7 linked regions of the Cricetulus griseus genome follow. The protein of the gene in region 5 interacts with the protein of the main gene of each other region in a biochemical or structural test. Links are inferred from orthologs where the notes say so. Each region holds a gene or a part of one and is shown on either strand. Other genes may lie near its edges.

Region 1 (4,009 bases), on a different chromosome or scaffold from region 5:
GTTTGGAAGTGTATGGCTGTGGCAGAATTTTTCCTCCTCTAAGAGCTGAGGTCTTACTTAGTAGACGGGATGACAGAGTTTCTTTTCAGGAAGAAGTTCGATATTCAGTAACAGCTCTCCTGGGATGGGGACTAAGGGCAGGTGAAAAATCGGAAGAATGATATTTAACCCGTTTTAAGTTCCGGTATTGTTAATCACAATCATACAGTTTTTAATTCTCCAAACTAAACCTAAAGGTAGTTTGGAGGTGAGCCTGTAAAGAAACTACCTTTTACTTCTTGTATTTGCCTCTCCCCCCCCCCCTTTTTCTTTTTTTAAAGGAAATAAGTGATAGTTTATTCTGGAGTAATGCTGATTGGTCACTTTCTTTAACTTCCTGATGGCCTTTAGCAGAGCTGTGGCAGGAAGCTGTGGGCAAAGGAATATGGGCTTGGTGTTATTATGCACTTATGGCCAGATCCCAACCTCTGGTATCCCTTTCTTCTTCCTGTCTTTATTAACACTGATTTGTTTATGGCCCTATTATCCCTTTGTGGCTTGTAGGCACCAGTTCTGTTTGTTTCATTTTCAGACCTCCAAGGCCAACTCCTCTACTAGTGTGAGGGACACTGTTGGGTGGACCTTACAGCCTGTAAGGAGAGAAATATGTCTGTAGGTCTAAAGGTAGCCTGATTGTCTCTACATCCTCTGGAAAGGGGTCCAGGAAGTCCATTGGTCCTTGGTAGGTAACAAGCCTAAGGGACAGGCTTGCTCTAGCTCTTGCCTAGTAGCTCCCAGACCACCGCCCAAATTGGCCTTATTCCTCCTGTTTCAGCTTTGCTTCCCTCTTGGCCTCGATCTACACCCACTGGGACAACTTTCTCTTCCTGGTTCCTTGCTCTTGTCCACAGCTGTTGTGGCTGAGGATGCTAATGGCCCAGGTTCCCTGGGGCTGCCACCTCACTTACTGTATGGTGGGGGGTGGGGATGGTCTAGGCTGTAAGAGAAATACTAAACTCTAGATCACCCCCCCCCCTTTCCTCCCTCAGCAGCTTCTGTTTCCTCCTTTATCCCTCCTAACCTTCCGGGCTTCCTGCTCTCTTTGGCTAGCCCATGTCAGTTTGGATTAATCCAGAGTTCCTCTTAACTCCTTCCTTTCCTTCTTTCCTCTTTTTCTTATTCTTCCATCTTTCTCTCCTACCTGGCACCTTCATCCTCCCCAGACAGACCCTAGTTGTTTGTATTGGGTAAGGGAGAGTGGCCTGGCTAGCACACATTGTGTGAGGAGGTGTCTCTGCCCCTCTGAGCCTGTGAGTCAGCATTGTCCTTGGGATTGGTCTCTCCCCTTGGTTCCCCGCCCCTGGGGAGGAGCCAGTCAGCTCTGGGTCCAGCCTGTACTCCTCAGCCATAAGAGGCTTCCTCGCAGGGCTGGGCAAGGATGTGGCCTGAAACTGTCTTGGTCTGACGTGGGAGAGCAGAGGCCACTTGTCCTTCGCTTCCCTAGGTCCTCTGTTATCACCAGGCTGCAGAGGTCAGACCAGGCTAAGGGCCTGGGGATGCCCCCTGCCTGGCCCCCTTGCCTGAATTTGGCAGGGGGGCCAGGCCGGGCCAGGCAGCAGCCCCCCTTCTCACCCCAGCCATGGATCTTCTACCCCCCAAGCCGAAGTACAACCCACTTCGAAATGAGTCTCTGTCATCGCTGGAGGAGGGGGCTTCAGGGTCTACCCCCACAGAAGAGCTGCCTTCCCCGTCAGCCTCATCCCTGGGACCCATTCTGCCTCCTCTGCCGGGGGATGATAGTCCGACTACTCTGTGTTCCTTCTTTCCCCGGATGAGCAACCTGAAGCTGGCCAATCCTGCTGGGGGGCGCCTGGGGCCTAAGGGAGAGCCAGGAAAGGCTGCTGAAGATGGGGAAGGGAATGCAGGGGCAGCCCTTCGGGACTCAGGCCTCTTGCCCCTCCTCCAGGACATGAACAAGCTGAGTGGAGGCGGCGGGCGCAGGACTCGGGTAGAAGGGGGCCAGCTGGGGGGCGAGGAGTGGACCAGACACGGGAGCTTTGTCAATAAGCCCACACGAGGCTGGCTGCATCCCAACGACAAAGTCATGGGACCTGGGGTTTCCTACTTGGTTCGGGTGAGTGTACATCCTCCTTTCTGCCCCCTCCCATTCCCCATCCAGTTCCTCTGCTCACTCCAGATTTGCTGGGACTTCCTGCTCTTCCCCCAACATCTGTGGCATTCCCCTAGTTCTTAACCCTGCCTGCCACATCCCTTCTCCAGTTCTATGCCTTCTGTTCTAGCCTGGGAGTCTTCTGCCTAGGTCCCCTTTCCTTTGATCCCTACCCCCAGCTTACACAATGGTCAAGCACATCAGAGGCTTTTAGTAAGTGTTGAATGAAAAATGACTTCTGGGTTCTTCCCTCTAGACTCCTCCCTTTTCCATAGCTGTCACTCCATCCCACCCAGTGCCTACAACTCCTCTCACAATCTCTCCACAGTGCATGAAGGTCCTCTTTGGTGGCCCTTCTTCACTATGGGGTGGTGGCCCCAGGAAGTAGGAAGGCTACTTTACCTTTACTTCCCTTAGGGACTACATAGGGCACAGTCCTAGAACCTTCTGCAAAGGGTGGGGTATTGCGGGGAGGGGGCAGCTGATCCATCCTTGCCTCCTTCCCCCACAGTACATGGGTTGTGTGGAGGTCCTGCAGTCAATGCGAGCCCTTGACTTCAATACCCGGACTCAGGTCACCAGGTTAGTGGAGAGGCAGGTGTATTGTTGGAGTCTTGTATGGAGGAGGAGGAAAGGTGGGCATTTGGTGGTGGTGCTGATGGTGACTTCTCATGGGGTGGCTAAGAGACCTGAAAGTTACACCAGTGTGTCTGACTGCAAAGAGCCAGCTCTGGTCTGGAGCACCACCTTACCCACGCAGCCTGGGAGACTGTGGGACGATGGATTACAAAAGGCTGCTTTTGGGAAGGGAATGGCAAATTTGGTAACTGGGAAGAGGTGGGGCTATAACCATTGAGGCCCTAACCCAATCAGCCAGGAAGCAGCCCCTCAGTGTCATCAAATATTAAAGGCCCTTAATTCAATCCACCACGACAAAGAGCCTGGAGTGCTCTGAGAATCTGGCCTGCTCTTCCCCTCCCCCAGCTTTGTGGCAGCCCCAGGCAGTGGGAGGCCAGGAGTAGGTCTGAGTACCCCTGTTTCTCTAGGGAGGCCATCAGTTTGGTGTGTGAAGCCGTGCCTGGTGCCAAAGGAGCCACAAGGAGGAGAAAGGTATGTGTGGTTGTGGTGGGCAGGGGGAAGGCAACCGCAGGCACAAGGGGAGGAGACAGAAGTGTCTCCTGGTGTTGCCAGTGCTCAGGTTCTGAGACTTGGGGCCTTTCCTAGCCCTGTAGCCGCCCACTCAGCTCTATCCTGGGGAGGAGTAACCTGAAGTTTGCTGGAATGCCAATCACTCTCACTGTGTCTACCAGCAGCCTTAACCTCATGGCAGCCGACTGCAAACAGGTGGGTGGGGCTGCTGAAAGGGACGGGGGTAGTTATGGGATGATGGGGTGGGGGGATCTGGAGGCCAAAAACCTGGAGTCCTCAGGAGCAACTGGAGAGTAGAGAAGGAAGAAATTAGAGGGCTTGGGTATAGTGACAAATTTAATCCCAGTACTCCAGAGGCAGAGGCAGGTGTTTGAGTTCCAACTATACAGTGAGACCCTGCATCCCTGTTACACCCCCCCACTCCCCCCACCCCCGCCAAATAGAACAAAATTAGAAGAGTGTAGGATTAGAAGCCGAGAGAAAGACTGGGCGCCAAGGTCATAGCTGGGGTGAGGACACGCGGGATCTTGACCACTCCCTTCCTTCTCCATCCCCTGCCCACATGAGAGAATGAGAGTGGGTGCCAAGGTCATAGCTGGGGTGAGGGTACACGGGACCCTGAGGCTGCTGACCTTGATTGTTCCCTTCCTTCTCCATCCCCTGCCCGCATCAGATCATTGCCAACCATCACATGCAGTCCATCTCGTTCGC
Region 2 (3,500 bases), on a different chromosome or scaffold from region 5:
TACAGCCAAAAGCTATATCCCTGTACCTGTTAAAGGGGGAGGGTATTATAATTCAATACATGCATGCAATGTATAATGAGCAAAGGAGGGTGTGAGTGGCTCTATACAAAGAAACATCCTGCGTGTTGCCACACATTTGTGGGAGTTAAGATGTTGATCTGCAGAGAGCTGGATAGAGGTCCTTAGGACTGTCGAGTGGGAGGGGAATGGGAGGCTGAGTAATGGGCACCAAAACACACTTGTGGGGAGTAATCCCAATTTTCTACAACATAGTGTGGCAACTATAGCCCTCATCTCAAAGTAACAAAAGGACAGGAATCTGAAACAAAAAAACGAAAAAACTACATTCTTAGGAATGCTGAGGAAAGGAAAACAGAACAAAATACTGGAAAAAACAACAACAACAACTCCCAAACAGCTTATAATTAAGCACTGTCCAAATCATATTTTGATAGCCCGACAGACAGCAACAGGTGCTGTAGACACAAGACTCACCTCCCACGGTGCATGCTCCAAGGAGATTCACGATATTCATGTGATTGCCCAGGTAGCTCAGGACCTTCAGTTCTGACATGAGGGCCTCTCTTTCCGTTAAATGGGCACTTGCTAAAATGGAAAACAATGTATTTTAGCAAAATGAAGAAAAGAAAAACCCACAAGGCAAACTGGTGGTGGGGGCAGGTAGTGGACGCTCTGGACACTTACGTTTGAGCATCTTCACAGCAACCGTCATGGCAGCATCTGACTTAATCAAGCCATATGCAGTGGCCTCAACAACCTTCCCGAAGGCACCGGCACCCAACGTCTTCCCTTTAGAAAGGAAGACAAGGTCAGCGGAAAGACCCGGTGGACAATTGTGACGGTTCCAAAACCAACAAGGCAACTCAAGGAGAATGAGTCTGGAGAAACTTCACTATAGTCTTCCTTTTGCTAACCCAGCCAACTTTTGTAACATTTGACAGAAGGCACTTCTTGTTTCAGGTGAAACAAGACAAAGGAAGCCACTGAAGGTTCCTTAAAATCATTGTTATGTGTACACACACACCAAAAAAAAGCTACGTGGAAAGCCCCAGCTTCATACTGACCAAAACTCAGTCTGTTTCTGGGAAACTCCCATTTGTGATCATAAGGAAGTTGTGTTGGGTCTATGTAAACATAATTGTTTCCATTTATCTCCTCGACAACCTTCCATTGTACTTCATACATGGGTTTCTGGAGGAGAAAGGGAAAGACATGTCACCGCTTAACAATCAAAGCCTCGGTCATTGCGGCATCCGGGGGAGAGGGAGGAAATCAACAGTCACCTGTAAATATTTGTAGGCGAGAACCATCACAATAATGCCCATCAAGCCAGCTGTGATCACAAAACCAATGAGCAGTGGTGTGAACAGGGTGTGGGGCTGGATTTGCTCTGCAAGGGAAGAGAATTGTGATTGTGAGCCGTTTGCAGGACAACAGCCTGGCCACCACCACCTGTCCCAAACTGAACTTCTCTCATGGCGCATGCAGGGAACACATCTTACTCTTGGTATTCAAACGCATCATTCCTTCCTCTCTTTCTTTCATTATTAATTACTATTATTATTATTATTATTTATTTTACTATGTGCTAGGGATGAAACTTGGGTAAGTGCTCTGACACTGCACCACACTCACACCTCACACCTCACTGGACGTGCAGGCATCTCCAGAGATGTAAGTTAAAACCAGATTACAAAGAAAACGAACTTTCTGTAGCATACACATAATGTTATGCTGTTTCAGTAAAAAGCAACATCTGAATGAACTTCCTTTCTGGGTGCTTTGCATTTTCTTCCTGCTCTCTTATACTTTCTACCCTGAACATCAATGCCTTTGGCAGAGAGGAAAGGCATTTTCGAGGTGTCCTTTTCATTGCTCTGTCTGGGAAAAGTAACAATACAGAGAGCAGTGTTAGGCCTCTGCTCTTCCTTATCCAAAGGCTGAGGTCATGCAGCTTTTTGGCATGAGCCCTATGGCCAATGCTGGACACCACAGAAACTGGGCACTAAAAGCAAACTCAGATGCCCAGTTTCCTTGTCTCATATATGCCCATTCATCAGTGCCTTCAAGGGTCATGTGGCCTGCTAGTCACTCAGGAAGCAGAACCTAAAGAACTGGCTGGACAAGGAGTACAGCCCACAGAAGGCCATCCACATAGCATGCACATGCTCTGTACGATTCTGACAGTGCAGGTGCACAAGCATGTCTACACACACATGTACAAACACACACACAAATAAAATTGGGGAAAAACTATTGGCTGACAAGATATTTTGACACAGATATTTAAGAAAATGTAACTCATCTTAAATAACTAAAGTCATAAATAGAATTTATTTATTTATTTTTACTTATGTTTCTCAAAACAGGGTTTCTCTGTGTAACCCTGGCTGCCCTGGAACTCGCTTTGTAGACCAGGCTGGCCTCAAACTCATGGAGATCCACCAGCCTCTGCCTCCTGAGTGCTGGGCTTAAAGGTTGTGCACCACCCACCACATCCAGTGAATTTAAACTTTTTAAAGTTTCCTAATTATACTTGAGTAGAATGAAGGAAGGTTCCCTTACTCAACTATAACTGCACACATGTAACTTGTCGAGAAGCTCGGACAAACACAAAGAGAACAAGTAAAGCAAAATGGCTAATATTACATTGATAAAATCAAAACTTCATCAGCAGACTAGTATGGAATGAGAGTTTGTGAGTTTGATGACAGCACAGTGTGATGTAGGCATTACCAGAAATGTTATGGCCAATATTGGAATGGAGTTAAGATCATGGTATGGTACACAGAGCCTAAATATCCCCTTAAATTGGATCAAAAGGAAATATACCTTTGTTGTTACCTTTAAATGCAAAGTTAAAGAAGGCGGAACTCTTGCCCACATCGTTGTAGGCCTTACACTCCACTGTGCCGTTGTGCCGCAAGACACTGGAGTCTATGGAACTCTGAACCACTAGTTTTCCAAATGGTGACACAGAAGCGTTCTGGATCTGTACATCCACTGGTGGGACGGGAACGGCACACCTACAATAAGAGATCGACAGTGTGGGCTTATACCAGGAAACCAAATAAAAGCATGTGACACTTTGATCTGGCACATTTGTATGACTAGAAACTCAGGCTCAATAAAAACTCCCTTTCCCAGCCATCAGGTCAGGATGGCCCAAGGAGAATGAGCCCCCTGGGGACCTCTAAGTGAGGAAAGTACTGAAGGAAACCAGAAAGGGAGCAATGGTTTAGAGGTTGGACATGGACCTGTGCCCTGACTCCAAGTGCCCGACCTGGTGACTTTTGCCAGGTTCTGTCAACTCTTCACTGCTAGGTTTCTGTGGCTGTACCATCTCAAGGGTAGGTGAAAGGAATGGACTCAAATGGCTGCTGGCACTAAACGCCACTGTACCACAGACTTTTAGAAACAAATCTGGAAAGCATGAGTGATGGTTGAAGATAAAGTGTGTAGAAGAGGAAATTGCAGGA
Region 3 (3,928 bases), on a different chromosome or scaffold from region 5:
TTCTCTACCCAAGCCTGAAAACAGCCCTCCACAGCAAGGGGGCCCCCAGAATTGCTTCCCCTAACTCAGACAAGACAGCTTTGTTCTGGGGGCATTTGGCTTGGAAGCCCTGGTGTTCGGGTTAGGGCCTCCCAACTGCGCCCTGAAGCTTCCATCCCCACTATCTGCTCAGCTCTCCACTCTCGTGTTTCCGCTCCTTTAGCAATAATGTAACTGTCAGTTGGTTGGCTTCCCCGACTCCATCCCAAATCAACTTTCCCTCTGGTCCACCATCCTCTCCATCCCCAACTCCTCTTTCTCTTGGCCGGCAGTGACTCCCCTACCTTCTTCGCCTAGGCAGAGCTCCAGAGGCTGGAAGCGGAGTCCTGGTCCTGGAGATTAGTTTTAGGACTTCCCAAAAAAAAAAAAAAAAAAAAAAATTCTTCGGCCAGGGGAGACTGGACCCCCCCTTCCTCCCCCCTCTTCGTTGGTCCCTCCCACGTCCCCTAGAGCCTCCCACATTCCACTTTCTCCCTCCATTCCAAGCCAGGCCAGTCCCCTTCCTCTAGATCTTCCCTCCCCCGTGGAGCTGCTGCAGCCGTCCCCCCCCAGCCCCCCCCCCCACTACCCCGCCCTTCTGCCGGCTCAATGAAGCTTTCTTTTCCCGCAGGTTGGAGGCCGGGTAGCCGCTGTCAGGATGCTGGACTTGTAAACGGTTTCGTGATCGGCCCCTGCGGCGGCGGGAAACTTGCCAGCCTCTAGTTGTTCCTCCACATCCCCAGTTAGGCAGAGTATCAACAGTCCAGTTCAACTCCAGGATTGGGCCATGGGAGCAGGTCCCACAAGAGGAATTAATGTCCCGAGGACCCCCCTTGGTGGTTGTAGTGCCCCCGGGGTGCCTGCGGGAGACGTCACGGCCTTCACTCTGATGTCACGCTAAGCATATGACGCCACTCTCAGCCCCCCACCTCCCAGGCACCAGGGCCTTCTAGTTGACAATCACGGCTTCCCTGAGTGGCACCACTGTGCGAACGAACGGTAGGATAAAAGGCCCCAGTCGGCTTATCTGGGTACCCCGACTTCTTCCTGCTGGCTCCTCTTCCTCCATCCCCCATCGTTGCCGCAGGGGCCCAGGAGGGGCGGGCACGCCTCCGGCACCCTGCAGCCCCGCCCCGCCCCGCCCCCCGCCCTCGGGGCCAGGAAGCTGGGAAGGAACCGCCGGGGCCATGGACGGGGCTGTGATGGAGGGTCCGCTCTTTCTACAGAGTCAGCGCTTCGGGACCAAGGTAGTGTGAGTGGGTTTGTGTGCGGCGTGGGGGATGGCGAAACCCCTCCGGACTAGAAGTGGGTGAAAGCAGCCAGAAAGAGGAAAGGGGCCGGAAGCAGGTCGGGACGCTGCTCCGGCAATTGCAGAGCCCCATGAAGTTCCCTTGAAGCCCCACGCTGTGCCCTTCTTGGGGAGGAGTTGGGATGATGGCATTATCTTTGGGAAAGTGTCCCTGCCTGGGAAGCCCCAGACTCAGATCGGCCTGCGTGTGTTTCTCCTTCCCCGTGGGGGCGTGCTGCCGCGAACTCCCGCGTCTTTCATTTTTTCCCCCAGAGGTGGAGGAAAACCTGGGCTGTGCTCTACCCAGCTAGTCCTCACGGCGTAGCGCGTCTGGAGTTCTTTGACCACAAGGGCTCTGGAGGGGGTCGAGGCGGCTCTCGCCGTCTGGACTGCAAGATGATCCGCTTGGCTGAGTGTGTGAGCGTGGCCCCTGTGTCAGTGGAGAGTCCCCCCGAACCCGGCGCCACTGCCTTCCGCCTGGACACCGCGCAGCGCTCGCACCTGCTGGCGGCGGACGCCCCGTCCAGCGCCGCCTGGGTGCAGAGTTTATGCAGAAACGCTTTTCCGGTGAGGGGTTGGGGGTGAGCGGCCCTGGGCCTAAGGAGCATTACGAGAATGGGGCTTATTAGAGCGGCACTGGACCTCCTGCACCTACTCCAGACCCAAGGGAAATATATATATATATTTGGAGTCTGTCAGCTTGGCTTTTTATATATATATATATATGTGTTCCTTTTCCTGCAGAAAGGCGGCTGGGCTTTGGCGCAGACGGAGAACCCGCCTAAGTTTTCTGCCTTGGAGATGCTGGAGAATTCCCTGTATAGCCCCACCTGGGAAGGTAGCTGCCTGGCATGAATGGAGTGGGGAGAAGACGTGGTCTTGGGAGCTAGCGATTGGAGGCTACCAAGTCCCTAACCTGCCCCAGCGCTCCTTCCCCTTTCTGTGTGTTCCTTCCAGGCTCCCAGTTCTGGGTAACCACGCAGAAGACTGAGGCTTCTGAACGCTGTGGCCTGCAAGGCTCCTATATACTGAGGGTGGAGGCTGAGAAGCTGACCCTCCTGACTTTGGGGACCCAGAGTCAAATCCTGGAGCCACTCCTTTTCTGGCCCTACACTCTGTTGCGACGCTATGGCCGGGACAAGGTGCAGGGGCTGTCTGGGAGGATGACTGTCAGGGAGGACTTCGGGTTGGCTAGCTGTAGATGATCAATTCCATTCCCAGGTGGTCTCTTCTCCTCAGATACACTAACTTGGTAAGATCTGTGACTCATCTTTTATGACACTCCTAACATGTTTCCCTCCACACCCTCAGGTAATGTTCTCTTTTGAAGCTGGTCGCCGCTGCCCCTCAGGCGCCGGAACCTTCACTTTCCAGACTACACAGGGAAATGACATCTTTCAGGCAGTTGAGGCTGCCATCCAGAAGCAGAAAGCCCAGGGAAAGGTGGGACAGGCACAAGATATCCTCAGAACTGAGTCCCATGAAGGGGAGGCAGAGGTGAAGGTGACTTCCCCTCCTGCTCCTCAGGAGCCCCTGGACAGCCCCCCAGCCCTATATGCTGAGCCTTTAGACTCCTTGCGAATTCCCCCAGGCCCTTCTCAGGACTCTCTGTACTCAGACCCTCTGGGTAGCACCCCTGCTAGGGCAGGGGAGGGGATGCATTCGAAGAAACCTCTCTATTGGGACTTGTATGGGCACGTGCAGCAGCGGTTGCTGAAAGCCAAGCTGACAGACTCCAAAGAGGACCCCATCTATGATGAACCCGAGGGCCTGGCCCCAGCCCCTCCCCGGGGCCTTTATGATCTGCCGCAGGAACCTAAGGATGCATGGTGGTGCCAGGCTCGGCTGAAGGAGGAGGGCTATGAGCTCCCATACAACCCTGCTACAGATGACTATGCTGTGCCACCTCCGCGAAACTCCAAGCCTGTCCCTGCTCCCAAGCCGCAGGGCTTGGTCCTTCCTGAACCTGGTACCACAGGAGGCAGTGGCAGCAAAGACCACAGCTCAGATATGGCTCTGTACAGCCAGGTCCAGAAGAGTGGGACGTCAGGGGGTTGGGACTGTGGGTTTTCTAGAGTAGGGAATGACAGGACAGGAGTCAAGTCAGAGGGCTCCACCTGAGACAGTTGCTGATAGTTTCATGGGGCCGTGGCATTGACAATCAAATCTGTTATAACCAGCAGGAACCAGAGGGTGGGAGGTGCCTAGGTTAAGACTAGGGGACCAGAGGCATCAAGGGATGACCAGCTCGAGAACTGAGTGATATAGGCTCTGGGACTAGACCTATGGAAGGGGCCTACTAGTCAGAGTGGAGGCACTTTGGGGAGGCCAGTGTGGCTCCTTACTTTTGTATTGTTCTTTGCTAGATGTATTTTTAATTTATAAGACAAATTTCATTAAAGCCAGTTTGGTTTGAAAAAGTCTCTGTGTGTGAATAGACACAGTGGCGGCATGTCCTGGGAGGGCGTGAGGGGATCAAAAGAAAAACCAGAGATATGTTGGGGACCAAGGAAGGAGGAAAGGGCCCCAGAGAGGAAAGTCTACAGTGTGGTGGCTCAGGGCCTGGGTGGTCACAGGCTCACCTGGGAAGGTCTATAGCTCTGTGACCCTGGGTCAGCTGTC
Region 4 (3,500 bases), on a different chromosome or scaffold from region 5:
ACCCACCTATACCCCCTCACCTGCACCCACCTATACCCCTTCCCCTGCGCCAGCTTATACCCCCTCACCTGCCCCAAACTATAACCCTGCGCCATCGGCAGCCTACAGTGGGGGCCCTGCAGAGTCCACCAGCCGCCCACCCTGGGTGACCGATGACAGCTTCTCTCAGAAGTTTGCTCCTGGAAAGAGCACTACCTCTGTCAGTAAGCAGACCCTGCCCCGGGGGGCTCCAGCCTACAACCCAACAGGTCCACAGGTAACCCCTCTTGCCAGGGGCACCTTCCAGAGAGCTGAGCGCTTCCCAGCTAGCAGCCGGACTCCCCTCTGTGGCCACTGCAACAATGTCATCAGGTACAGGCTTCGGTATGGGAGGGGTAGCAGATGGGAGGACAGATACAGGCAAAAGGCCAGCCCCACAGGGCAGCCTCAGGTCTCTCTGGCTCAACTCTATGAGCTTTAACTTCCATACCTGTGTGACACCCACATCCCTGGGGAATCGGGAGGATTCCATGAGGTAAGTGGGTGAAGCTCCCAGCTTGGTGCCTGGTGCCAGGAGCTCCCCCTTGGGCTAAGGCTGGGTTCTGGGAATCTTCAGCCTTGTTGTCAGTAGGTTTATTGAAAGCTAGGTGACAGTGCTGGTTTTGACCCAGCTTTCCTATAGAGTTGCTTCTGGATCTTTCTACAGACAGTCCCATGCCTCTTATGGCTCTGATAGACACTTCACTGAAATTAAAGCAAGTAATGCCCCTTAGAAGTCAGGGGTCTCAGACCATGCTTGTTAAATGCAGTATGTCTGTGTATATATGTGGTATGTGCTTCCATATGTGAAAATCTTTAAGAAACAAGCAGAGGCCAGGTATGGTGGTGCACACCTTTGGTCCCCAGCACTAGGAAGGCAGAAGAAAGCGTGTCTCTGTAAGTTCAAAGTTAGGTACTTCTAAAAGCTAGTTCCAGGACAGCCAGGGCTAGAAAGTAAGATCCTGTCCCCAAAACAGAAACAAAATGAGGAGATAAGAATTAGAAAATACAGAACTGAAAAAAATTAGAACATGAGGTTTTCTGATAGTTCCAGTGTTCTGAATACCAATCAAAACTGAACCATCATGTTTGTAGTCTACTGCTTCCTGGCCCTATGACCTTGAATGAGTTCCTTGGCCTTCCCATGTCTCTGTGTTCTTTACTGATAATTAGGCATCATAATAGTTCCTCCTTCAAAGAATTGTTATGAGGATTAAATATATTAACAAATGTAAGTTTATTCTTGAAGGGTATCTAGCACGCAATAATTTAATAAAGGTTAGACACCATCATCATTGCTCTCAGAATAACCTGTGAAAAACTGAACTATGTGATTTTTACTCAGTCCTCTGTGGTAGATACTTAGATTGCTTCCAGGTTCTGTTTGTTAGGTTTTGAAATGTGTGTTCCTTTATGACAGAATCTCACTATGTAGCCCTGGCTATCCTGGAACTTACTGTGTAGACTTGAACTTAGAGATCTGCCTGCCAAGTGCTGGTGTGCATCCCCATGCCGCATTGTCTGGTTCTATTTATTGTTACTGACATGACAATAGACATCTTTCTGCATGGAGCTTCCTCAGAATTACATGTTATTTCATTAGAACAATCCTCAAAGTGGACATTACTCAGCAAATGTATGAATATTGTTGGGGGTTCTTAAAATATCTGGTTCTAATTTCTGGGGCTCATTTTAATGCTCTTCTCTGCCATGCCAGGGGCCCTTTTCTGGTAGCCATGGGCCGCTCTTGGCATCCAGAAGAGTTCAATTGTGCCTACTGCAAGAACTCCCTAGCAGATGTATGCTTCGTGGAGGAGCAAAACAATGTTTACTGTGAACGGTGCTACGAGCAGTTTTTTGCCCCGCTCTGTGCCAAGTGCAACACCAAGATCATGGGGGTAAGTGGGCAGCATCCCTCTCCTTTGACCCTTGTCTTTTCTTCAACTGGACTGACTTGCTCCCTTCCCCTTGCTCCCTTCCCCTAAGATTCTGTGATCCTATTAGAAACACTATCAACAAGTGGCTGATAACAGAGAAAACAAGTCCATTTCCATCCTAGAATGGAATTGGTTTGCCATTAACTACTGAACCAGGGAACTAATTAACTTAGGCAAGCAATGATATACACATATGCCACCAGCTTCGAATAGTGCTGGGGTTCTGAAAAGCAAGTTCTTGCTTCACAGCCTGACCTCACCGCTCATCTGCCTGTGGCCCTGACTCTCAGTGTCCTTTTGGCAAAGTGGCCCTAATAAGCAGGACCTCCCTTCTCCACCCTCCCCTGCCTTCCCCAGCATCTGCTTTGTGAAGCCCTTCTGCACCGTTCCTTAGGCTACTTGGACAGCAGCCAGACCTGGTGCAGAAGCCAAGTCTAGCTCCCTTTCTCCTGGGAAACTTTCTGTCCTGAACTCAGAGTCTTTCCTCCAGGAAGTGATGCATGCTCTGAGACAGACATGGCATACGACCTGCTTCGTCTGCGCAGCCTGCAAGAAACCCTTTGGAAACAGCCTCTTCCACATGGAGGATGGAGAGCCATACTGCGAGAAAGGTAGGCCTGTGAGACATGGTACAGATAGGATGCAATATGACACCATGCTGGAAGACCCTGTACCATGTCCCACCTGGGTTGACAGGCAGGCATAGAAAACCAAGTCGTGCCTCTGTCCACTCACATCCTACTGTAAGCGGGAAGACAGGGTCTTCTGTGTTTTCTTTCCTATGTGGTACTGTGAATCAAACTCAGGGCCTCACATAAGCTCCTGACTTTGCTTTTAATGGCTGAATCATGCTATTATACATTAGCTGAACTATTTCCCCTGCTCATTTGGTTCTAGCTTTTGGAGAAAAGGAGTGAGAATTACAATGCATTTATATACCAGTCTCTGCTCCCTTCCATGTTTCTAACATTTGAGTCACACATTGTTCCATAAACCTCTCAGGCTATGTTGACATGGAAACCTGGGTCTAGTGTGAAAAGGGCCTTGGCTCTAGATGTCATCCTAGGTTCTATTCCTGGCTCCACCCTGAGATGGCTTTGTAACCCTGAGTAAAGCTGCTAAACACATGCCTGGTAGAGCTGATTTGAGGATGGAAGCAGGGCAGGGCCAAGGCATGGGATGCTCAGTGCCCTTCCCTTCCTATGGTGGTGCTTTTCAGGCTTCCTTCAATATCTCTGTACCTTGAAGTGTAATATGCTATTGTAACATGTGGGGAGTTGAGGAGTCACAGACTAGCTGGCCTTTTAGCCCTGCCCCCTTCCTTCACAGCCTGCTTTTCTCAGGAAGCGTTCTGCCTAATAAGGGGAGCATAGACTTGAAGGCTAACACAGCAGCACCAGAAAATCAGATGAGGAAAAACAGGGATATCTATAGTAGGATCTGATGTCCTCACATTAAGTTGTACATGCAGACAGAACTCTCATATACATTAAATAAATACATCTTTAAAACATAGTATTAGTCATGTCTGTGCTATCAATTTTT
Region 5 (3,956 bases):
TTATCCGCCTTACTCCAGTTTCTAGAAGCCAAGGACCTGTTCACAATTTCCCAGCAAGTCCCCAGGCAGATGACCTTCTGAGCAGAGGGGAAGAACACTGGTCCAGCTGCACTCTTGGCTAGCTGGCCACTGCTTGCTCCAGCTCAAGCTCCTCCTTCAGGAAGCTGTCGTCCTCCTACCACAAAGCTGCTCAACAAAGTTCACAGGCCCTAGTGCATAGTAAGTGCTCAATGTACGATCAAAGACAGCCGAGGACCAGGTGGATAACAGGGACAAAAACCATTTAGCCAGTCCTCCTTAGATCCTGGGACTTAGAGGACCCAGACATGCTCCATTCCCACCCCTACTGTCAGATGAGAATGGGGTAAAAGCCCAAGCAGGAGGCAGCCTATAAGCTGGAGGCTGGTGGGGGGCTGGGGAAAGGGACACGACAGGAAACAGAAGAGGATTGGGTGGGAGAGATAGGGTTGCCCTAAGGCTGGAAGAACAAGGATGAACATGAGATGGGGCGTGCCCCTAACACTCATTCTCAGTGTGTACCCCAGGATACAAGCAGTCAGCTGAGAGGTGACACACTATAAGTCACTTCCCCTTGTGGAAAGGCCACCTCACCGGGACACACCCCATCTCCAGCAGGGCCTTATGGCTCTGCCAGGTGGGGGTGATATGGGAGGAGTCTTTTTCCAACAATGCCTTGTTCCTGACCCCAAACTATACAGCCTTCACTGTCACTGCAGGTTAAAGGGCAGCCAGCCAGCTCCTCTGAAGTCTAAGTTCCAGTTCCAGCTGCAGACTGAGCTAGCCCCAGGAGGAGTTCAGTGAACCTCAACAGCTCTGATCATCATGGCTCCACCTGATTTATCTGTCCGTCCTGTAGTGCCAAGGCTAGCACCAGGGCCTTGGGCATGCGAAGCCTGTGCTCTACCACTGAGTGCCTTCACAATCTGATTGATCATTCCTTTCTGACAAGACTGAGGCAAAAGGAACCCAGAGCTGACTATATTCACACAGCTGTGGGCCACAGGAGGGTGCTCGGATATTGAGGCTCTAGGGCACCCTTCGAGACACAGTTACCCTCTCCTGCAGGCAGCTGTGCCACAAGCACCCCAGTCATCTTGTGCAGGCTCCAGGGTGGAACTCATTTATTGACACCCCACCCCATGCATGCCAACTCCTTAGCTGCCAGAAGCACAGGGAGTAATCACCTGAGGACCCTGTCACTGCTGTGAAGGATCCAAGGAGCAGCCCCCAGCTCAGATCACCCAGGAAAACAAGAGACTTTGATGCTTGGACTCAAAAGTCTGGAAAGAGCCCCATCCCCGCCCGCCCCGCCCCACCCCCGCACGCGCCCCGCCCCCATGCCCACCTTGGAAACTGAATCTGACTTCCACCCAGGTGAACCCATCACCATTGCTCACACAGTTTGTGAGTCAGGGAAGACCTTGTTTAGGGCCTCATAAGCCTCACACGTCTCTGTCCACTTTTCTCCCTCTGAATACCTTAGAGGTTTAGGGGTTACCCAGGGAAAAGTCCCCTCTGTCCACTCCACTCTTCAACCAGCCTAGCAGTCCTGGCCGTCTACCCATCACTGAGAAGGGCCTTGGCTCAGAGAGCTAAGGCAGTTGTCTCCAAGACACACAGCATGACAAGTGGTGGTTCTAGTGGGGACACAAACTCACCTCCAGTACCTGCCCGGGTGGGCAAGTGGACCTAGTAGTGGTACTGAAACACCAAAACTTTTGCCAACTTCGGAGCCGGCAGGTCGCTGGGCCCGAGGAGGGGCGAGGCTGGGGGCTGGCGGGGGTGAGGGGAGGACAGAGTGGCCCAGTCTCCGCCAGGCCAACAGCACCAGGCCCTAACCGAGGCCCGGAGACCCAAGGAGGTCGCGTGGCCACCAGGGAGCCCAGTCCCCAGCGCCCACCCCACCCCCAACCCCCACTCCGGGCCGGGGGCGCAGGGCCCCGCAGCCGCGATCGCGGGCGGCGCCGATCGGCCGGGTTTTCAGATGTGGCCTAGCCGGGCTGGGGACTCTGCGGCCGAGGGTCCCCACGCGCCGGTGCCCCCCGCGCCCCGCCCGGCCTCCCCCGCGCATCCCAACAAAAGGCCGCGCCGGGCAGGTCGCGGGCCGCGGCGGGGAGTGGGCAGGGCGGGAGCCCGCAGCGGGGCGCGGGGCTGGCGGGGCGGGGGCGCTCACCTGCGGCGCGGCCGCGGGCTCCGGACGCGCCCGGGCGGACCCCAGCGGGGCGCGCAGCGCTGGCGGGCGGCGGCCTGGCCGCTCCGGCGGGGCGGCCGGGTGGATTCCGGGCCGGGAGAGACAGACCTAGAGAAAGGGAGGAGGCGGCGGCGGCGGCGGCAGCGGCGAGGGGGAGGGAGCGCGCGGGAGGAGGGGCCGCGGCCGATGCGAGCCGGAGAAAGAAGGAAGCGCGGACCCGGGCCCCGCCGGCGACCCGGGGGACCTGCTGTGCGAGCCGGGCCCCGCGCCTCCCGCACCCAGCCCCCTCCCCGCAGCTCCACCCGCGGGGGCGCCCTCTCGCCCCGGACCAACCTAGCTACCTGAGCTACGCACCGATGGCTAGCACTATCTTCCAGACACGGAAACTGAGGCAACTGGCCACACCAGCTTTGACCTGATTGTCTTTAACCAGAGACTGGGACCAGAGGGGCAGAGTGAGGAGGAGAGAGGCAGCTTTATTAAAATGTATCAAGAGGCGAAACAGTGGCTCACTATGTGACACAGGCTGGCCTTGAACTTGTGGGAGGCTCCAGCTTCTGCCTATGGAGGGCAGGGACTGCAAGCATCAGGCCAGCCCTAAATTCATTTTCAGCGCATGCAGAGACCACGTACATCTGCTGGGAAGTATGCAGGTAGTCAGCCACTGAGGACAGCAGGATCAGCCAAACAGGAAGTAGAGAAGGAAAATGGGATAAGGGGGCGGGATGTGGTTTCAGGTTGGTCTCAAAGACCACCCCTCACAAACGCCAGTCCCTGTCCAGGTTCTAGGGCTGCCCCTTGGGCCAGGGAGGGGGTCCACCTCTGACTCCTCCGTTCCCCTCTAGAAAGATGAATCCGACCATCTGCCTCCATCCTCCTTCCTTGAAAGTGCTCCCATCTCACAGGTGGCCAACTGAGACCCAACCAGGTTAATGTGGCACCAGGCCTGAGCTTTCTCCTGGTGGAGACCCCTCCTGAAGGGCAGGTTCCCATCCTCCCAGAACATAAGAGGCTCCAGCCTCAGGGTACAATGTATGTCCCAGCAGGCCAGGAAGGAGCAAAGCTTTGAGTCAGGCTGATCTAAGTTCACATCTAGGCCAGGTGCCTCAGGGTTTGTTCAGTCATCAGTTTCCTGTTCCAGCCTCCTCCCGTTGTGAAGTAGGTAGGAGTGGACAGGACTGGGATCTGAAGGCCGCACTGCTGAGTGCAAGTGTGGCCAGGGTAGCCCACTGAGCCAGAAGAGAGAACGGGGCTGCTCAGGATCCTCATGAACAGCAGGCAAAGTAGCCACTCCTGTTTGCAAGACTTGCTTAAAGTTTAACGGCAGTTTCCCAGGACTCCCTTGGGCAGGCCCTGGCTGGAGGAGCAGGTTTCTCCGCCCTCTTCCCCGCCAAAGACTTGTCTAATGGCCTTCACTGGCCACACTGGGCTGGGGGAAGGGTGGCTACTCTTCCTGTAAGGTGCTGGAGCTGGTTCTCAGAGGCTTGCAAACACTTAGGACCGCTGTCCTCCTTCTCAGGGCCATATTCAGTGATGTCAGACTGGTCACCTGGCATCGGCCTCCAAGGAAGTATGTTCTACTTGGAAATGGAGAAATTTGACAAACCATACCTTAGCTTTTTCTTCCAGAGAGTTGCTTGTTAAATATTTGCCAGCGTATCACTACATCCATTGCTGGAAGTTCAACAGAAAGATCTGGACATTGGGCGTTTCCAAACCTAAGACGATGGAAAGCTTCAAAGTA
Region 6 (4,221 bases), on a different chromosome or scaffold from region 5:
CTCACCCACTGATGTGACTTATCTCCCCTCTTCAGACACAGTGCCTGAGGACTTTGAGCCATTCCGGAGGCAACTGCTCCAGGGAAGGGTGTGAGGTGCCGCCACCAGATTCAGAACCCTGACTGGAGACCTTTGACCTTGGACTCTGTTCTGGAGACCTTGGGGTCTAATCTACAGCTCCTCAGCCTAACTGATGGTTCTCTGGCACCCATCAGGGAGCGCAGCTCCAGAGGGGTGGTGACCCCATTGTGCAGGGGTTGGGGGACCTTCAAGGGGTATATTACTCAGGTACGAACCCCAGGAAAGACATCATCAGCACATTGCCATAAAGTTTCAGCTATTTTCTAAGTCAGTGCAATCACTTATTTTAGGCCTTTTCTAGGACAATAAGGAGCCCGAGGGGTTAGAAAGGCTGGTAGCGCAGGTTAGAGAGCCAGGGAAAGTTTGACTGAGTTGGGGTGTGGGTGGGAAAAGTACCAAATGAAGGATGAGGTTGGAAGATGGGCTAAAGTCCTTCCAGCCCCACTTACTCACCGTGGCGGCGGCGACCCTTCTAAGCTCCGCAGTGATCGAAAGCCCAGGGCTGGGGCTCCCCCGCTCTGGGTGAGGGGGCGCCGGGGGGGCCGAGGGGGCCGGAGGCCGGGACGAGTGCAATATTGGCGGGGGAAAGAACAACACTGCACCGCGTCCCGTCCCTCCCGCCCGCCCGGGGCCCCGGAATCCCGCTCCCTACCACCTGGGCCTTTGGAACCCAGGGACTGGGGGCGCTCTGGAGAGTTGGGGTCACTTTAGAGTTACACCAGAGCCTGGGTGCCCGAAGGGTGAAAGGGGGGGCGAAAGGGTGAAGAGAGAAGGGGAACCCCCCCCCCCATGCCCTGGAAGGCCACTTTGCAACGTCGAAGCAGTGCGCGCGCTTGCTCTTTAAATACTCAGACTGAGAGGCGCGGAGCTATTGTCATGGTGACTGGTATCCCAGCAACCAAATTGACTGGCTGTTGCCTGGCAATCCCAGGAGTTGGGGTTTGGGGCCCGCCTACCTAAATTCTTGTGGGCGCGCTGACGTAGGGCGTCCTCACTCCGCCCAGGGCCGGCCTCACAAAATCGCTCAGAGGCGCGATACACGGCGGGAGCGTGGGTCCCACGCCCCCATTTACGCACCTCCGAAAAGTTTCTAAAGTATCAGCTTCTGTTTTGTACTCGTTGGGACTAAGAATTGTTGGCCTACTACAGTTGTAACTGCAAACCTACGCCTGCAGGATCTGGCCTGGTACTCTGAGTCCACATGCTGCTGTGAGCCCAAAGCCCTCCCCGTCCCCAACTGTCCCTGCCCTTCAGAATACCTCTCGGTTCTCCCTAAATGCACGCGCACACACACACACACACACACACACACACACACACACACACACACACACACACACACACACGGGTTTGCCCTGCACCGCGTGGCGTGCCTGTCTGCTCCAAATATCGTTCCTCTCCCTAACACAGCTCTGAGCTCCCAAATTTCATGGTCGCCCCTTCTATTCTCTGCCTCCTAAATACCTAGCTGCCTGAACATAACCTGTCCCACTCCCCCTCCCACAATCCGAAGTCCTTATCGCTAAACTTGTTGCCCCCACCACATACCTTAGGTGCCCCCCTCCCCGCACACTTAGCCTCTCCCCCGCCCCCCAGACATCTGAGTAACCCAAGCACTGATCCTTGCTCCTCCACCGCACTGTGCATTCCTTCCTACCTATTCTAGGCGTTGACTCTTTTCGTCAAGGCCCAACCAACTTCCCTAAGATCTCGGTCTCAACTTGGGGTGTGCTGTCAAAACTCCCCACAGGGTCTCAACTCCTCGGCCACTCGGCCCGTGCGGGTTGGCCGCGCGATGCTCCCGGTGACCACTAGAGGGCAGGCGTTCCCGGCCAGAAGGACCGGCCAGCCTGCCACTCAAGGTGGAGAGTTGGGTAGGAACGACCTTAGGCTTCGGTAGAGCCCCAGTTTCGTCCTTTTTAAGTGGAAATTTCCCCCCACCGCCTTTCTCAGGAGCAAGCCAAACAGGGACCCAGGCTACTGGAAAGCCTGGCAGGGGCGGAGACTGTGGTTTTCAGAGTACAGGGAGCGGTTAGAAGGGTGGAGCTATTCCGGGAAGTGATGGGGGGAGGGAGCCTGAAACTAGCGACTTGTCCATTATTATCCAGCCCCCTTGTGTCCTCTCAACTTATGGAAAGCCGTTTTTAAGGATCCGCAGAGAGAATAGGAAACGGGATTGGGGAACCTAGGGATGGGTTTCCCTGGGCTAGTTGTCCAGGGCCTTTCTGTGCTCCGTTTCCCCATCTTGACCATTGCTCTGGGGCTAAAACCAGAGCCAGGGGGCCCCAGGTCTCCTCCACAAACACACCTGGGGAAGTCAAGGAGAGCTTGGTAAAAGGGGGGAAGCCAACTGGAGAATAAACAAGTAGTCATAAGATTGAGTGATTGGAGCCCAAGTACCCTACACAGGAATGGTTGGGGAGGAGGAGGAAAAGATAGGGGAGGGGGCGGAGTTTTGTCACCTGTCACCTGCTCTGGCTGTGCCTAGGGCGGGAGGGGTACTGGTATAAAGCAGCGGGCACCAGAGCTGCTCCACCGCACACACGCCACAGCTCCTGCCTTGAGTCTGTTTCTGCCCTCTTCCCGCCTCTTCACCACCACCATGACCCCAGGCATCCGGGCTCCTTTCTTCCTGACGCTCCTTCTAGTGCTTGTAACAGGTGAGAGGCATGAGGTTGGGGTGGAGGTGCGTTGTTCAGGTGGGACTCCTCACCGTTCTTTTGCTTGCTGTTAGATGGCATAAAGGATAGACAAAGATGACCCAGTTATGTGCCAGAATGAAAGAGGCTAAGGACACAGGCTGAGAAGATGTGACCCCCAAGAGAGTAGGCACCGTAGGAGGCAAATGCTCTGATGTTTGTGGAGGTGGGTTGTGTCAGGAGAGACAATGGTAGTGGGAGAATGGGGCCATGTGCCGCGGTTAGGTTAGGGCCAGCTTGCAGTATGAATCCTTGTCTCAAAAATAAGTAGTGGAGGAATGAATTAGCCAGAAGCAGGGTTGAGTCTTTTAGGGAGGGAGAGATTAGCCAGGGAGGTTGTCAGCAAGGAAGAAGGCAAACAGGGACTGCCTGACGCCAACCTTATACCCCTTCTGGGGTTACTTTGGTTTTGGAGTTTATATTTTTCTCCTTCCTCTGATTTTATTCACCAACCCAGTAGTTTTTACAATTTCTAAATCATGCAGGTTATCCAAAGCAACCTAGTATCCATCTCTGTTGAGAGGTGTGTGAGCATAAAAATGGTCTACTCCCCACCTTCAACTCTGGTTCAGGCTTTCTTGCCCTTCCAGATCAAAACAGTGTCGTCTTATCTCTGGACACCAACAGTTCCCCAACCTTGAATACCACTCCAGTCCACAGTGGTTCTTCAGCCCCAGCCACCAGCTCTGTAGTGGACTCGGCCACCACTCCAGTCCACAGTGGTTCTTCAGCCCCAGCCACCAGCTCTGCAGTGGACTCAGCCACCACTCCAGTCCACAGTGGTTCCTCTGCCCCAGCCACCAGCCCTGCAGTGGACTCGGCCACCACTCCAGTCCACAGTGGTTCCTCTGCCCCAACCACCAGCTCTGCAGTGGACTCAACCACCACTCCAGTCCACAATAGTTCTTCAGCCCCAGCCACCAGCCCTGCAGTGGACTCAACCACCACTCCAGTCCACAGTGGTTCCTCTGCCCCAGCCACCAGCTCTGCAGTGGACTCAACCACCACTCCAGTCCACAATAGTTCTTCAGCCCCAACCACCAGCCCTGCAGTAGACTCAACCACCGCTCCAGTCCACAATAGTTCTTCAGCCCCAGCCACCAGCCCTGCAGTGGACTCAACCACCACTCCAGTCCACAATAGTTCTTCAGCCCCAGCCACCAGCTCTGCAGTGGACTCGGCCACCACTCCAGTCCACAATGGCTCCTTGGTCCCAACTACCAGCTCTGCGCTGGAATCAGCTACCAGTTCAGCCCACAGTGGTGCCTCTTCTATGACTAATAGTTCTGAACCAGACTTGGAGACCACTCCAGTTTACAGTGGCACCTCTATCTCTACTACCAAGGCTACTTTAGCCTCTGCCATCACCCCAGTCTACAATGGCTCCTTGGTGCCAACTACCAGCTCTGTGTTGGGCTCAGCCACCACTCCGATCAGTAAT
Region 7 (4,032 bases), on a different chromosome or scaffold from region 5:
AGGACCAGCATTCATACCAGCAGTAGGAGCACAAGAGAACTATACAGCCAACACGGATTAAGGACTGGGCCTGTGGTCACCTTTTTACAGAATAAAACAGAAGGCAACAAAATGTATAAGCTAAAGGGCCTCAGTCTCACCATTGCTAGGACCACAGGTGTGCCATCTCCCTAATCTATCTAAAATGTTTCTTGGTTTGTTTTGGGGGACTAAGCGTCCATTAGATACCCTAAGTCGCCAGGAGCTCCTAATGGAGATCAGACTTGTCTCAAACTTTCGTTAAGTCTCCTGAGTTTCTCCCTCCTCAGCGCAGGTGTACACTACAATGGTGCATCTTAATCCGCCCTCCTCCATGGGGGGGGGGGGAAGACACATTGAATGCCACTGAGTGTAGAGGTCAGAGGACAACTTGTGAGAGCCGGTTTTCTCCTCCCACCATTTAGGGCCTGGGGATAGAACTCAGGAGACAAGCAGAGTTACCTGCTGATCCGACCCCAGATGCGTCTTTCCACAAGAATTCTCTCGCCAATTTTGAGCCTGCTATAATGGAAAGCTTAGTATCCGACTTCTTGGATGCCCTGTTTGGGTCTGGAGCCCCTTTCTCCCGGCCTTTGCGTCTCTGATCGACCCTTCTGAGTTGCACACTGGCAATAAGTGGCTTTTAGTCTTCTATCTCTCCCTCCAGGCTTCCCTTTCCACACCCAACGCTTACTCCTCGGGTCAGCCTCTCCCAGCGCTCCCAGCGTCCCATCCCGTTGGGGCAGTCTTTCCCTCTCTTCCGGCCTCACACTGCTCTAACCCTCCTCTTCCCCTCTCCGGGTCCCCAGAAGCGTTCTTTCCATTTCCTGGCTGGAGGGACGGCACCAGATGCTCCTCAGAAGCACATCTCTCTAGGGACCTTGCGAGGCTCGGCCGTTGGAGGAGGCGTGGCCCTCGAATAAGTCCTCCGCTGCCCCACTCTCGGCGGGCCCGCGCGCAGACAAAGACATTCCAGAGCCCCCGCCCCCTCCGCCTGAGTGGGGGGGGGAGACACGTGAACCGCTAGCACCGAGTCACGTGGAAAACAAAAAAAAAGAAACGAACGAAGGAGGCTGGCGCCCGCGCAGGCGCGATAGACCCGAAGCCCGAGCGGGGAGACGACGTCTTTAGTCGGCGCAGGCGCCGTGGCCAGACTGGGGACTTTGTTCTCCGCGGAGAAACTCAAGGGCGGTGCCGGTAGACGTCTGCGCACGCGCGCCGCCTCATTTCCGGTGCTCTCTCGCTGGGTCGCTCGGGTCGGCTTCGGTCGCTGTCGCTCCCGCTCTTCCACCCCCGCCAACCGCCGCTCGGGCCTCGGCTGCCGCCGCGTCGCTTCCTCGCTCGCTCGCCACACATCCTCCCCGATGCAGCGCCGGGACGACCCTGCCGCGCGCCTGACTCGGTCCTCGGGCCGCAGCGGCTCCATGGACCCCTCAGGTGTCCACCCCTCGGTGCGTCAGACCCCGACTCGGCCGTCACCGCTGCCTCACCGGTCCCGGGGAGGCGGAGGTGGGCCCAGAGGGGGCGTCCGGGCCTCGCCCGCCACGCAGCCGCCGCCGCTGCTGCCTCCCTCGGCCACGGGTCCCGACGCGACTGTGGTCGGATCGGCGCCGACCCCGCTGCTGCCCCCGTCAGCCACAGCCGCGGCCAAGATGGAGCCGGAGAATAAGTACCTGCCCGAACTCATGGCTGAGAAGGACTCCCTCGACCCGTCTTTCACTCACGCCATGCAGCTGTTGTCCGTAGGTAAGCGGGTCTTGGCGCACCCTCGGCTTTCCCGGTCCTGGCGGTGGGTGGCCGCCGCTTTGTTCCTCTTGCTCCCGCCCCCTCGGAGCCCGGGCATCGGGAGTTCCCTTCTCGACCCTGGCCTTCAAGATCCTGGACCCACAAGTCCCACCCCTGCTCAGGGTGTGAGGGGAGATTTCTGAGCCTCGGAGGAGTCTCCGTGCGTGCGCGCAGAGCTTGATGGATAGTACTGTGCTCCCGCCCCCCTTCCCGACCCTGTCTCCTCCTCTAGTAGTTGCCCCGCGCGCCGACGACCAGATCTTTCCAGAAATGAACCTTCTTTGCCCCGCTTTCCCAAAGGGGGGAGGGGAATTTGCCTTTTGATCGCGCGTGGTGGAGAGCGCCTTGACCCGGGGTGTAGGGAGGAAAGACGGTCGGAACCGGGAGGGAGGCAGGGCCGGGATGCCGGGCCGGCGCCGGCGCCGTCACCGTCTACCGAGCCGTGCGGGATTTAGCGGGAACTCGGATTTAAGTTACTCAGAGGCTGGAGCGACGAGAGAACCGGAGCTTGAGATTTTTCTCGAGTTCAGTTTTCCACATCGGCCTGTCGAATAAGAATTGCTGCAGACCCGGACGGTTTTTCTCCTTTATTTTAAAATGTGTCTTGACAATCACGCAGAAGTAGAGCGAGTAACTAAGGAGACTCTGGGAAGAAATGATAAAGGGAGGTAAGGGACTGCAGGTTCTTTATCGTGAGATGAACGAGAGAAATTGGTCTTGTTTTAGTTTGGGCTTGAGAAGAGATAGTTTAGGAAAGGTAGCCTTTGTTCTTTGCTTGCAGACGGCGAGCTCTCTTGACTTCATGACTTAGTTTTCTTATTCAGACCATCTGCTTGACCCTCATTTATAGTTAAGGCATGGTTTTTAATAAGTATTTCTTACGACATCTAAATATTATTTAGCATATAAAACCCTTAGTCCGTCTCACTAAATGAGTAGTTGGACTCTGGCCAAAATGATACCGTGGACAGTTCATTGTGAAAATACCATTATCTGATGGAGAGAGATGGAACAGCGGTTAAGAGCACTTTCTGCTCTTCCACAGGGGTTCGGTTCCCAGCACCCACATCACGTGGCTCACAAACACTTGTAAAATTAGCACCAGGGGAGGGGGATCAGATACTCTTTTTGAACTACAGGCACTCAGGTACGAATCTGAAGTGAAATAAAGGGAAAATACCATTTTCCTCCATTTGTTCTCTGTTTCCTAGGATTGGTGAAGGGACTTTACTATTTTTGCAATAAAAAAGAAGATTTAAGGATGTGATTTTCTTTACAGACAGGTATGAAAACAGCAATTAAGGGTTTTGTTTTGTTTTGTTTTGGTTTTGGTTTTTCAAGACAGGGTTTCTCTGTGGCTTTGGAGGCTGTCCTGGAACTAGCTCTTGTAGACCAGGCTGGTCTCGAACTCACAGAGATCCACCTGCCTCTGCCTCCCGAGTGCTGGGATTAAAGGCGTGCGCCACCAACGTCTGGCTAAATTAAGGGTCTTACAAGTGCAGTAAAACAAAAAGCTGGGTCAGTAAATACAAACGTTTAGATCAGTTGGTTGCATTTCAACTTAGTGCCCCTATTCTGCTCTTTGTTGGTTTTTCCAGATAAGGTTTCTCTGTGTTTTCCTGGCTGGCCTGGAACTTGCTGTGTACACCAAGCTGACCTCAAACTCACAGAGATTGGCTTGCCTCTGCCTCCCAAATGCTGGGATTAAAGATGTGTGTCACCACTGCCTGGCTAGGTTCTTATGTTTCATGACAAGTTACTTACTGGTAAGAATTTTCTTTTTTTTTTCTTTTTTAAGGTCTCAAGTAACTGAGACTGGTTGGCGCTCACTTTCTAACCAAGGATGATTTGAACTTATGTTCCTTCTGCCTCTATTTCCAGAGTTTGGGAGGTATGAAGTGCCTAGGATAAAACTCAGAACTTTATGCACGATAGGCACTCTACACATTCAGGCCATCTTTCATTTTATTTATTTATTTATTTTCATACTGGCTTGCAAATAACAAACACCAGTGTTTGGTTGACTGAGAACAAGTGCCTGCAAGAAAATCACTATGATTAAGGTCGACTTAGTATTCTTATTTTTAGTTCCTCAAATCTTTATAACCTGACAGGTTAATTGCTGGAGAATTAAGTGGTTTTAAGAAGTTAACTTTGGAAACTGATCCTTAACTAGCTAATCTTGAGAAATTTACTCAAATGCTGGGTTTGAGGACTAAGTTATATGTA

What was found.
Region 1: of the proteins of Src (region 5) and Shc1, one has a biochemical effect on the other in vitro, tested with the Homo sapiens proteins (4 studies listed by BioGRID and IntAct, with this or other methods). The link is inferred for Cricetulus griseus from reciprocal best matches to the Homo sapiens genes SRC and SHC1.
Region 2: the proteins of Src (region 5) and Kit form a complex in vitro, tested with the Homo sapiens proteins (3 studies listed by BioGRID and IntAct, with this or other methods). The link is inferred for Cricetulus griseus from reciprocal best matches to the Homo sapiens genes SRC and KIT.
Region 3: the proteins of Src (region 5) and Dok1 form a complex in vitro, tested with the Homo sapiens proteins (2 studies listed by BioGRID, with this or other methods). The link is inferred for Cricetulus griseus from reciprocal best matches to the Homo sapiens genes SRC and DOK1.
Region 4: the proteins of Src (region 5) and Ldb3 interact in a test that uses a peptide from one of them, tested with the Homo sapiens proteins (2 studies listed by IntAct, with this or other methods). The link is inferred for Cricetulus griseus from reciprocal best matches to the Homo sapiens genes SRC and LDB3.
Region 6: the proteins of Src (region 5) and Muc1 form a complex in vitro, tested with the Homo sapiens proteins (2 studies listed by BioGRID, with this or other methods). The link is inferred for Cricetulus griseus from reciprocal best matches to the Homo sapiens genes SRC and MUC1.
Region 7: the proteins of Src (region 5) and Khdrbs1 form a complex in vitro, tested with the Homo sapiens proteins (8 studies listed by BioGRID, with this or other methods). The link is inferred for Cricetulus griseus from reciprocal best matches to the Homo sapiens genes SRC and KHDRBS1.

The regions. Positions count from the first base shown.
Region 1 is NW_023276806.1:65,125,204-65,129,212, reverse strand, and holds the start of Shc1 (SHC-transforming protein 1), read left to right. Parts: upstream 1-1,209; 5' UTR 1,210-1,618; coding exon 1,619-2,113; intron 2,114-2,660; coding exon 2,661-2,731; intron 2,732-3,195; coding exon 3,196-3,259; intron 3,260-3,373; coding exon 3,374-3,493; intron 3,494-3,971; coding exon 3,972-4,009. UniProt on the Homo sapiens protein: Signaling adapter that couples activated growth factor receptors to signaling pathways. Participates in a signaling cascade initiated by activated KIT and KITLG/SCF.
Region 2 is NW_023276807.1:142,126,586-142,130,085, reverse strand, and holds part of Kit (mast/stem cell growth factor receptor Kit), read right to left. Parts: intron 3,048-3,500; coding exon 2,854-3,047; intron 1,412-2,853; coding exon 1,305-1,411; intron 1,213-1,304; coding exon 1,086-1,212; intron 811-1,085; coding exon 706-810; intron 607-705; coding exon 496-606; intron 1-495. UniProt on the Homo sapiens protein: Tyrosine-protein kinase that acts as a cell-surface receptor for the cytokine KITLG/SCF and plays an essential role in the regulation of cell survival and proliferation, hematopoiesis, stem cell maintenance, gametogenesis, mast cell development, migration and function, and in melanogenesis.
Region 3 is NC_048601.1:74,204,847-74,208,774, reverse strand, and holds Dok1 (docking protein 1), read left to right. Parts: upstream 1-1,128; 5' UTR 1,129-1,205; coding exon 1,206-1,265; intron 1,266-1,579; coding exon 1,580-1,873; intron 1,874-2,050; coding exon 2,051-2,144; intron 2,145-2,263; coding exon 2,264-2,448; intron 2,449-2,617; coding exon 2,618-3,427; 3' UTR 3,428-3,729; downstream 3,730-3,928. UniProt on the Homo sapiens protein: DOK proteins are enzymatically inert adaptor or scaffolding proteins. They provide a docking platform for the assembly of multimolecular signaling complexes. DOK1 appears to be a negative regulator of the insulin signaling pathway.
Region 4 is NW_023276807.1:184,830,238-184,833,737, forward strand, and holds part of Ldb3 (LIM domain-binding protein 3), read left to right. Parts: coding exon 1-351; intron 352-1,735; coding exon 1,736-1,916; intron 1,917-2,445; coding exon 2,446-2,566; intron 2,567-3,500. UniProt on the Homo sapiens protein: May function as an adapter in striated muscle to couple protein kinase C-mediated signaling via its LIM domains to the cytoskeleton.
Region 5 is NC_048599.1:22,117,671-22,121,626, forward strand, and holds the start of Src (proto-oncogene tyrosine-protein kinase Src), read right to left. Parts: upstream 2,801-3,956; 5' UTR 2,567-2,800; intron 1,810-2,566; exon of another isoform or gene 1,680-1,809; intron 1-1,679. UniProt on the Homo sapiens protein: Non-receptor protein tyrosine kinase which is activated following engagement of many different classes of cellular receptors including immune response receptors, integrins and other adhesion receptors, receptor protein tyrosine kinases, G protein-coupled receptors as well as cytokine receptors.
Region 6 is NW_023276806.1:65,326,002-65,330,222, reverse strand, and holds the start of Muc1 (mucin-1), read left to right. Parts: upstream 1-1,421; 5' UTR 1,422-2,683; coding exon 2,684-2,741; intron 2,742-3,352; coding exon 3,353-4,221. Other genes in the region: Thbs3 (thrombospondin-3), read left to right, coding at 36-94. UniProt on the Homo sapiens protein: The alpha subunit has cell adhesive properties. Can act both as an adhesion and an anti-adhesion protein. May provide a protective layer on epithelial cells against bacterial and enzyme attack.
Region 7 is NC_048595.1:23,279,753-23,283,784, forward strand, and holds the start of Khdrbs1 (KH domain-containing, RNA-binding, signal transduction-associated protein 1), read left to right. Parts: upstream 1-1,232; 5' UTR 1,233-1,382; coding exon 1,383-1,764; intron 1,765-4,032. UniProt on the Homo sapiens protein: Recruited and tyrosine phosphorylated by several receptor systems, for example the T-cell, leptin and insulin receptors. Once phosphorylated, functions as an adapter protein in signal transduction cascades by binding to SH2 and SH3 domain-containing proteins.